Linked DNA regions of Drosophila melanogaster. The protein of the gene in region 1 interacts with the protein of each later gene in a pairwise test. Each region holds a gene or a part of one and is shown on either strand. Other genes may lie near its edges. The genes, in order: EDTP and Cyp28d1.

Evidence for each region.
Region 2: the proteins of EDTP (region 1) and Cyp28d1 interact in a two-hybrid assay, tested with the Drosophila melanogaster proteins (one large-scale study listed by BioGRID).

Annotation. Positions count from the first base shown.
Region 1 is NT_033778.4:17,441,875-17,446,932, reverse strand, and holds the start of EDTP (Egg-derived tyrosine phosphatase), read left to right. Parts: upstream 1-1,994; 5' UTR 1,995-2,480; coding exon 2,481-2,597; intron 2,598-4,449; exon of another isoform or gene 4,450-4,649; coding exon of another isoform or gene 4,650-5,058. Other genes in the region: mthl4 (methuselah-like 4), read left to right, coding at 1-196, 256-406, 463-639, 702-956, 1,014-1,182, 1,249-1,443, 1,513-1,627; CG18467 (uncharacterized protein), read right to left, coding at 4,650-5,058.
Region 2 is NT_033779.5:5,208,556-5,213,129, forward strand, and holds Cyp28d1 (cytochrome P450 28d1), read left to right. Parts: upstream 1-1,904; 5' UTR 1,905-1,946; coding exon 1,947-2,140; intron 2,141-2,195; coding exon 2,196-2,334; intron 2,335-2,398; coding exon 2,399-2,506; intron 2,507-2,635; coding exon 2,636-3,266; intron 3,267-3,325; coding exon 3,326-3,595; intron 3,596-3,657; coding exon 3,658-3,824; 3' UTR 3,825-3,890; downstream 3,891-4,574. Other genes in the region: Cyp28d2 (cytochrome P450 28d2), read left to right, coding at 1-95, 166-438, 501-664; CG7742 (uncharacterized protein), read right to left, coding at 3,934-4,107, 4,160-4,241, 4,308-4,574. UniProt on the Drosophila melanogaster protein: May be involved in the metabolism of insect hormones and in the breakdown of synthetic insecticides.

The DNA.
Region 1 (5,058 bases):
GTGCTATGGCGACATGTCGGAGGACGAGCTGAACAAGCACGATCCCTTCGTGAACGTGACGCTCAGCGACGGGTCGGTGGTCAGGAGACACTTCAAGGAGGATCTGATCGTGCAGTCGGATCTGGCCAAGCCCGGATGTCCCCGGATGTACTTTTTGAATCACGAACTGCCGGGCAATGAATTCACTCTGTTTGAGGTTACTTTCCTGTGTTTCTGTCACTTCTGAAGATCGTAACCTTTTTTGAATCTCTGTAGAACGGCTCTCTTCTGCGTCACTGGGACAAAGTGGAACTGAGCAAGCGGGAGTACTGCGTCCAGCATCTTTCATTTAAGGATGATAGTATCCGAATTGCACCCCACTTCTGTCCACTTTCGTCTGAGCACTCCAGAACGTGGAAGACCGTTGGTAAGCTGAATTCCCTGCTTGACTTTAAGGTTTTTAGTTAATGTCCTTTCTCACAGCGATAGTGATATCCTTGATATGCATAATCCTAACGATCAGCGTGTACCTCTATGTCGAGAAGCTTCGCAACCTGCACGGAAAGTGTTTCATCTGCTACTTGGCCTCTTTGTTCTTGGGCTATTTCTTCCTGGTCCTCAACGTGTGGAAATACTCCTCCGGCTTCTGCGTTACAGCAGGTTTGCTTGTGGCGATTACAAGATAAAGGACGACTAATTTCACATTTCGATATCATGATCAGGGTTCCTGGGCTACTTCTCCGTCATGGCCGCGTTCTTTTGGCTTTCTGTGATTGGAATCCACTTGCGGATTAAGTTTAGTCTAGCCTCTAACTGTTTGCACCGATTGCTGCCAGAAAATCCGTTCCGTGCATACAACTTATACGCCTGGGGTATACCGCTAATCATGACTGCAATCACCTATACAGCTGACCAGGTGGTTAAGAACGAGAAGTTGAGACCCCGCGTGGGCGTCGGCAAAAATTGTTGGATCTACAGTAAGTTACTATTCCTATAATTACAATTACGGTGTAACTCGTTTTGTTAACCAACAGCTGGCGATATGACTGTCATGATCTACTTCTATGGCCCGATGCTGTTGCTAATCGCTTTCAACATAATAATGTTTGTCCTTTCGGCGATTTACATATATAACATAAAGAAAAATGTGAAAGGCCTTGTCCACAAGCAACAAACAAACCAACAGATAAATGACCAACAAATGTAATTATATTATATTATAAGATAATAACTATAATGTCAAATGGCACTTTTTGTAATCTTTTATAGGTTTGCTATATTCCTGCGACTTTTCATCTTAATGGGTTTGTCGTGGAGCTTTGAGATATTATCCTTTTTGTTAACCAAACAGCAAGCTTGGGCTAGGGCTTTAATGGTGGCTGACTACTTTAATTGGTCCCAGGGTACCATCATATTCGTGCTTTTTATTTTAAAGCCTAGCATTCTAAAACTTATAATAGCAGGGTAAGTAAAGTATTACAAATAACCTTGAAATTTGACCGTCTCATACGTATGAACAATCTTTTGATTTAGGGGACGTCAAAACCTCCCAGGAAGTCACCATAATTCGAGATCAAAAGCAGCTCGATATAATTCAACTCATACGGCTTGTGAAGGATCAATTGCGGATCCAAACGCTTACTGCTAAAAAAATGGAATTCAATAAGATGCAACGTCTCTGTTATTGATCACATTATTTTAATTTTCTATGGAGCAAAAGTTTAAAAAAAATATTTGTTATCAAGACAATAAATAATGTCTTGGAACATATAAAGCAAAATATATTAAAGGGTACAAAAAACAGGAAAAGTATGGGGCAATACAGCAAAATATTTTTCGGATCATCAACTTTTTTGTAAGACAAAATGTAGAAATATTTCTGGCACCGTTGTTTCAAACCAGGGTTTGAGTCAACAATGCTGGCCCACCACTGGCAAGTACCAAACGATTACAGAAAACTTTTTCTAATCGATTAAGCATCGGGGGTCATCGATGTTTCTCCACCACTACAATTTCATGTTGTTTTTTTAGTCGCGGCTGTTTGACGTTTGTCGCTTTCCTCCGTTGCGAATATAATATATTACGTAGCTCATTTTTATACAAACGGAATTACGAGCGCAACGACGACAGCAACACTAGTAGCACTAATCGTAAGCGCAGGGGCCAAAAATTAAATTGCGTTTGCGGCCGCAAAGATTTGATGACGTCGCATACGCCGTCTTCTAGGGCGTAAAAAGCAAAGCAAAGCAAACAAACGCGAAAGCGAAACGTGTAAACGGCGTAGAAGCGATAAACGCGACTCAAATACGCAGCAGATAAAATACAATACGCGAGAAGAGAAAAGTCACGGGAAATATTGTTCATATTCGGCGTCTTTCTGCGAGCGTAAACGTGTGTGCGTGGGCTTGTGCTTTTGCCAGTGTCGTGTGTGTTAAGTGCCTGTGTGTGTGTGTGATTAAGAAGATATAAAGGAATATAACGGTAAATGCAGCGCCGCAAAAATGTGCAGCCTGACGCCAAACCACATGGTAAACGTAACGCAGCAGCACCTACACGATCTATTGGAAACTTTCGAAAAAAAGTCCTTCGAGGCGGCGGCCTTTGAGGAAGGGACGGCGGTAAGTTAACGGTACCAGTGTGTGCTTGTGTCTGTGACTGTGTGTGTGACATACATTTAGGCGCACGTGCACGTGCTGCCGCCGCAAAAACACGCAGACACACACACACCCATGCATGATATGCCTGTTGTGCTAGTGTGCGTGGCGCTTACACCGAGGACACGTCATAATGTCCTGTCCTCCTATTGCTCTTATTCTCTTCCCTTTCTTGCGCTCCTCTCCCTCGCCGTCTTCCTTCTGCCGCGCCCCGAAAATACTGAGCCACTCAAAATGGCTGCCATTAAGCTTCCTGCGAGGAAAATCGCATTTTCATGGCAATCAATAGGCGGTAAAACATGTCGTTTGAAGGACTTAATGGTTCGTTTTCTCAAAGAGCAGAATTAATCACGGGATAGCTTTTCCAATTTGGTAGTCAATCAAGGTTGTTACCTATAAGAGCACTAATCACTAATTAAAATATCTTTTTTAAATAAGATGAGCAATAAACGGTATTTTTGTATAATTTCTATTAACATACATTTTATGGTCCTAATATTATTTAATTTAATTGATTTTTCTATTCCGTTTCTTAGCAAATTTTTAATTAATTGATAAGAATTAAATATTAAGTTTCAGCTTTCAGAGTTCCTTATCGAGTTGCATTCATTTTGATTATTAAATCAATTTCAACTAGGAAATCCCGAGTAAGCAGGTTTTCCGAAACCGGAAACTTCCTAATGGCTTTTGTTCTCGAATTGCCATTGAAACTCAATATCCCACTAAGCTGTGCTAAGCGATAATTAAAAGCCTAACAACGGCCTTTTTAGGCCCGCCCCTGACCCACGCATAAATGTGCATTTTCTTTCCACGACACGCACTCGAATTCAACTTTTGTCTTTTGCCTTCAGCTCATCCCCTTGCACCCGTTCATCCATTTTACCCCCCTCGAATGTCACGCACGCCTTTTAAATAGTCCAGTGTGTAATGCCATCTTATCGCCCGCTTAACCGGCAATAACACAGAATAACAATTGTAATGGCAACTTGGCAACAGCCGCTGCTCATTTGCATGCCAGTGCTGGTGAATATATTTAAGCCAAATCCCCGAGCCAGGCTGCCTGGAAACAGAGCGAGGAAAGCCAAGTGGGAACTTGGCACGTAACTCACGTTTCCGCGACGATCTTACATCGGTTTGTTCAGCTGCAATCGGCACATAAATATGTACATACATACATACATATGTGCATACTTACTTGTGAATGTTTAACCGCTACCGCAAACTTTGTTGCAAACGTATGTTTTTATCAAACAATGGCTAGGTCTTATCACCAACCAGGGCGCCAACCTTCGATTTGATTTTCCACAAGTATTTTCCTATTCCTTATCTATCTGCCAGCTATTCGAAGGCACAAACAAAACGCTGCTACTGCCCCTTGATACAAAGCATTGCATTTTTGATGGGGTGCAAAGGGTGAATTATGTGTGCGCTTCTCTCTCACTTGTTTATTTCCCAGTCTCCTCGGGGTTCAGGGTTAAGTTTAGCCACACCGATTAGATTAGGCGTTCGCCCAGCCAAAGTCACAATACCTAAGCAAATGACGTAGGCAGGCGATGAGGTTTATAGCTTACAGAGAACGTATGTAAGAACCATTAAATGGGTTAAATATACGAGCTAATAAGGTCAAAATGGCATTTAAATTGCAGCTAAAGATAATATTGCTACCTGAAATATATTTGGAAATCTTTAAATTGAAATTGAAGAGCTTTCCAAATTCATAAGTTTTACTCCTCGTCTTATCGCAGCAACCAAAAACAAGCAATCCTCTTAAAAGGACTCAGAAAAAAATCGAGTGAATAATAAGATTGAGTTTGCTCCAATTTACATCAAGACATGGAAATATTTAATATTCAACATCCATCAAAAAAAATTACACTTATTTATGTTGGTTCACCACAAAAAAAAATACATTTATATATGTAGATTTGCTAAAAAAAAAAAATCAACGTACATTTAAAAAGTTTCGCAGTAGACGCCGACCGACAATCGTTGGACAATTATTGTATGCTTATGGACTTAGAAACCCTGGAAACTCCGGCGGAACTCTTCCTCGAAATCCGCGTGGCCAAGATCAAGCTTGTGGTAGTCGGTGAATCCCTCGCGATCCAGCTTGGCCTGGGCCCAAAGGATTAGCTTGATGAGGAACATCATTCTTGGCTCCATGGGCTCCTCTTTGCTCTTACTCTCATCCTCGTGGCAGCGTAACATGGCTGCATTCATTTCACCGGCCACCTTTTGGCGATATGAGTAGTACATCAGCTCCCCGTAGGGACTGTATTCCGGCCGATCGAAGGCCAGCAGACCCATGGTCCGCTCCACTTCGTGGTAGTGACTTGGATCGACCTTGGAAAAGCCCGCTGCCTTGCTCTGGGCAAACTTCAAGGCCTTCTCCATCTTCTGATCCCTGATCATCTCGATCAGGCGC
Region 2 (4,574 bases), on another chromosome or scaffold:
GGAGGAGCAAGATAAGGTCCGCAAGGAAATTGGCAGTGCGGATCTGACCTTTGATCAAATGTCCGAGCTTCCGCATCTGGACGCCTGCATATATGGTGGGAAATTCTATCTTGATCTCTTGATATTCAGTTTCTTTAACTACATTATAAAATTTTATAATTTTAGAAACTTTGCGTTTGTTTTCACCGCAAGTTGCAGCACGTAAGCTGGTCACCGAACCCTTTGAGTTTGCGAACAAGAACGGACGCACTGTGCACTTGAAACCCGGAGATGTGGTTACTATACCGGTAAAAGCTCTGCACCACGATCCGCAGTATTATGAGGATCCTTTGACATTCAAGCCGGAACGTTTCCTTGAGAGCAATGGAGGTGGTATGAAAAGTTACAGAGACAGGGGTGTTTACCTAGCTTTTGGCGATGGACCTCGTCACTGTCCAGGTTGGTGTTATAAAAATTTATCTGAAAATCACATACTACAATAAGTCGATCTCTACATTTAGGAATGCGATTTGCGCTGACTCAACTTAAAGCAGCTCTGGTGGAAATCTTGAGGAACTTTGAAATCAAGGTTAATCCTAAAACCCGCTCGGACAATCAGATAGATGATACTTTCTTCATGGCCACCTTGAAGGGTGGTATTTACCTGGACTTTAAGGACCTTTAAATAATAGCAATAATCATAGTAAGCTTTAAGCTTAAAAAACTGGATAAAGAGAAGTTGTTTGCTCGAAATAACAAAAATTAAAATTAACCTTGATTAATGCATGATAATAAAAAAAAAATAAAATGCAGTAGAGATTTATTACTCAAGAAAGGCAAATGTTGCGGATGATCCACAACAAGGCTCGATCGAACATGGTTCGACAGTGATGTTGCATGCGCAACAAGTTCGATTGCTAGTGCGCAACATGTCGGTTGTAGGTTGGCCATCCGATTTTAAATACTTGCAAGATATAAGATTTAATTGAGATTTTATAATAAAAAGTAATAAGAATTATAGAATTATAGATCAAGGGGTGTATAAAGAATATAAAGAAATCGATTCACCATCATAGGCATCTCAAGGCTCAAGCTCAAGGGCAGTTTTGGTGGAGATCGTAAGAAATTTCGAAATCAATGTAAACGTCAAGACGCGATCGGATAATCGACTGAATGACATCTGCTTGACGTATTTTGAAGAGCGATAGTAAAATGGCTGAAGTGTTGTTGTAAGTGTTGATAAGATAATGCGCCAATTAAAAATGAAATCAGAAATTTGATTAACTACTTAGGTGCTACACACATTGTTTGTCCAGAGTATCTATACCCATTACTCGTTAAATGAAAATGGGTATGTTGTATTCCTAGAAAAGTATGCAACTGATAGATGGACCTTCTGAATACGACACATTGTTTTTTGTTTTCATCAAGCATCGCACTTTGCAATCCTACTTATTTATTTAAAAGTCGATACATTGCTATTTTTCCTTTAATTGTTTATGGTTTATGTATATGTCGTTTAATTTCACAACCGTTTATTCCATTTCTCTATGCTACTAAAACCGTTCCCTTAAAACACATCTTTATCTGCGTGCTTTAGATACATATGCCATGTACAATAATTGTAAGTTTGAGCACTTAGTGAAATGACAAGCTGAAAAGTTCTGTTTCATCGTCATATCATAAAATGGCTTTTCTTAACAGTTTTTGTACTACTACTTTGTGGCGCATGACCTAGGACTAGGTATATTGTAGCCCCTTGATCTTGATAACGAAATCAGGCATTATCTTCAAATGGTGCAATTTTATATACGACAAATATTAACAGCGGTGGTGAATGCAATTTGATCAATTTGTTTACTGGGTGAATCCATCCACTTGACTGGCGCGCAAGTTCAATTTAAATGACTGCGGCAGCTCAATTGAGTTCCAGTTGGTTTTCATCCGCGTTGGCGAGAGGTTGTGCCATGTGTCCGATTTCCACGGCTCTTTTTGTAATTGCGGCCATCCTGGCCTTGATCTATGTCTTTCTAACATGGAACTTTAGCTACTGGAAGAAGAGGGGCATTCCAACGGCCAAGTCATGGCCCTTTGTGGGCAGTTTTCCCAGCGTTTTCACCCAGAAACGGAACGTAGTCTACGACATCGATGAGATCTATGAGTAAGTGTATAGAGTTAGCTACGTTATCTGGTTACTGATTGCATCATCTCATTAGGCAGTACAAGAACACCGACAGCATTGTGGGAGTGTTTCAAACCAGAATTCCACAACTAATGGTCACAACTCCGGAATATGCGCACAAGATATATGTTAGTGACTTCCGCAGCTTCCACGACAATGAGATGGCTAAGTTTGTGAGTAGATTGCAAATACATACTGGTCTTAGGAGCCCATTTCATAAGTTAATTCACACAATAGACCGACAGCAAAACGGATCCCATTTTGGCGAATAATCCGTTCGTATTGACTGGTGAGGCCTGGAAAGAAAGACGCGCCGAAGTTACACCCGGACTTTCGGCAAATCGGGTAAGCTTAGGTTGCCCTCGAATTGTTTATTCAAAACTTATCTCGTGCTAATGTTTATTTTCACTGGGGGCCCTGATACCCTTATCAATTGAAGTGCTCCAATCAATTAACGCTCTGCCTCCCCAAAAGGTCAAAGCTGCCTATCCCGTCTCGCTGCGCGTTTGTAAAAAGTTTGTGGAATATATAAGGCGACAGAGCCTGATGGCCCCCGCCCAAGGACTAAATGCGAAGGATCTCTGCTTGTGCTACACCACCGAAGTGATTTCCGATTGTGTCCTGGGCATTTCCGCCCAGAGTTTCACGGATAATCCCACACCCATGGTGGGAATGACCAAGCGCGTCTTCGAACAGTCTTTTGGCTTCATTTTCTACACGGTGGTCGCCAATCTATGGCCACCAATCACGAAATTCTACTCCGTTTCGCTGTTCGCCAAGGACGTGGCTGCGTTCTTCTATGACCTCATGCAGAAGTGCATCCAAGTTCGGCGGGAAAGTCCGGCGGCACAGCAGCGAGATGACTTCCTCAACTACATGTTGCAGTTGCAGGAGAAAAAGGGACTGAATGCGGCGGAGCTGACCTCGCACACAATGACATTTTTAACGGACGGATTCGAGACCACCGCACAAGTGCTTACCCACACACTCCTTTTCCTGGCACGCAATCCCAAGGAGCAGATGAAGTTGAGGGAGGAGATCGGTACCGCCGAGCTGACCTTTGAACAGATAAGTGAGCTGCCCTTCACCGAAGCCTGCATCCATGGTGAGTTTTTTGGCGAAATCTGAAGTTATTTAGTATGCGTATAATATCTATATCTGCAGAAACTTTGAGAATTTTCTCACCTGTTCTGGCTGCCCGCAAGGTGGTAACTGAGCCCTGTGAACTGACGAACAAAAACGGAGTGAGCGTGAAACTGAGACCCGGGGATGTAGTCATCATTCCTGTGAACGCCTTGCACCACGATCCCCAATACTATGAGGAACCTCAATCGTTCAAGCCCGAGCGATTCCTGAACATCAATGGCGGAGCCAAAAAGTACAGAGATCAGGGTCTATTCTTTGGGTTTGGCGATGGACCACGTATTTGCCCCGGTGGGTAACATCATTTTTGAAACAATTAAAGTTACTAAAAAAAATCTATGCATAATTTGTAGGTATGCGGTTTTCACTTACCCAAATCAAAGCTGCCCTGGTGGAAATCGTGCGAAACTTCGACATCAAGGTTAATCCCAAAACTCGCAAGGATAATGAAATTGATGATACCTACTTTATGCCAGCCTTAAAAGGCGGCGTTTGGCTGGATTTTGTTGAACGCAATTAGTTATTCAATAATGTTACGACTTTATATTAAATATAGTTTATCCAGTTGCATACATGTTATATTTCCAAACACTCTTAATACTTTAATTTTGTAACTTAAAACCACACTTTTAGTCTCGACTTAGGGCTAGTTGCACTAGGGGCAGCACCTTGATAGAGGACAAGTCTGCCAGAATCGCTTCGATGCTATCCAACGAGGCCACCTGCATGATGCTCTCCTTTCGAAAGCTAAGAATGATGATGGCGAATAGAGGAAGGATCTCCAAGCTATCAAAGCCAAGGATCTGAAAAGGAAGGGATAAGTACTGCCAATAAGAACGGAGGTGTATTTCGTACCAGATCCCAGAGGACCAGCAATTGATCGGGAGGCAAATGTCCGGAAAACGCTCGCATAAGCCATTTGAAGACCACCCGCAGGCTAAGGAAAGATATGTCGTGAAATGGGTGAAATAGCTGTCTAACGAAAAACCCAATCCCAACTCACGGCTGTATCTGAAGCTCTCGGAAATGGGACCATAACTGCGGTTCGTATGTCTGCAGCAGCTTCTCGAAGAGCAGGCACAGACTGACAATCCCTTGAGGATGCGTGTTTATGGTGGTCAAGCGATGGCAGTACCGGATATAGAAGGCCCGGAATGTATAGTATAGACTCACCGGCGAGTCATACAGATAACAAAAGGGGGCGGCAAACATGCAGATGCCGTGGAAGGGCACCACACCCGATGGAGGACCTTCGTAGGTCTTGCCCTTC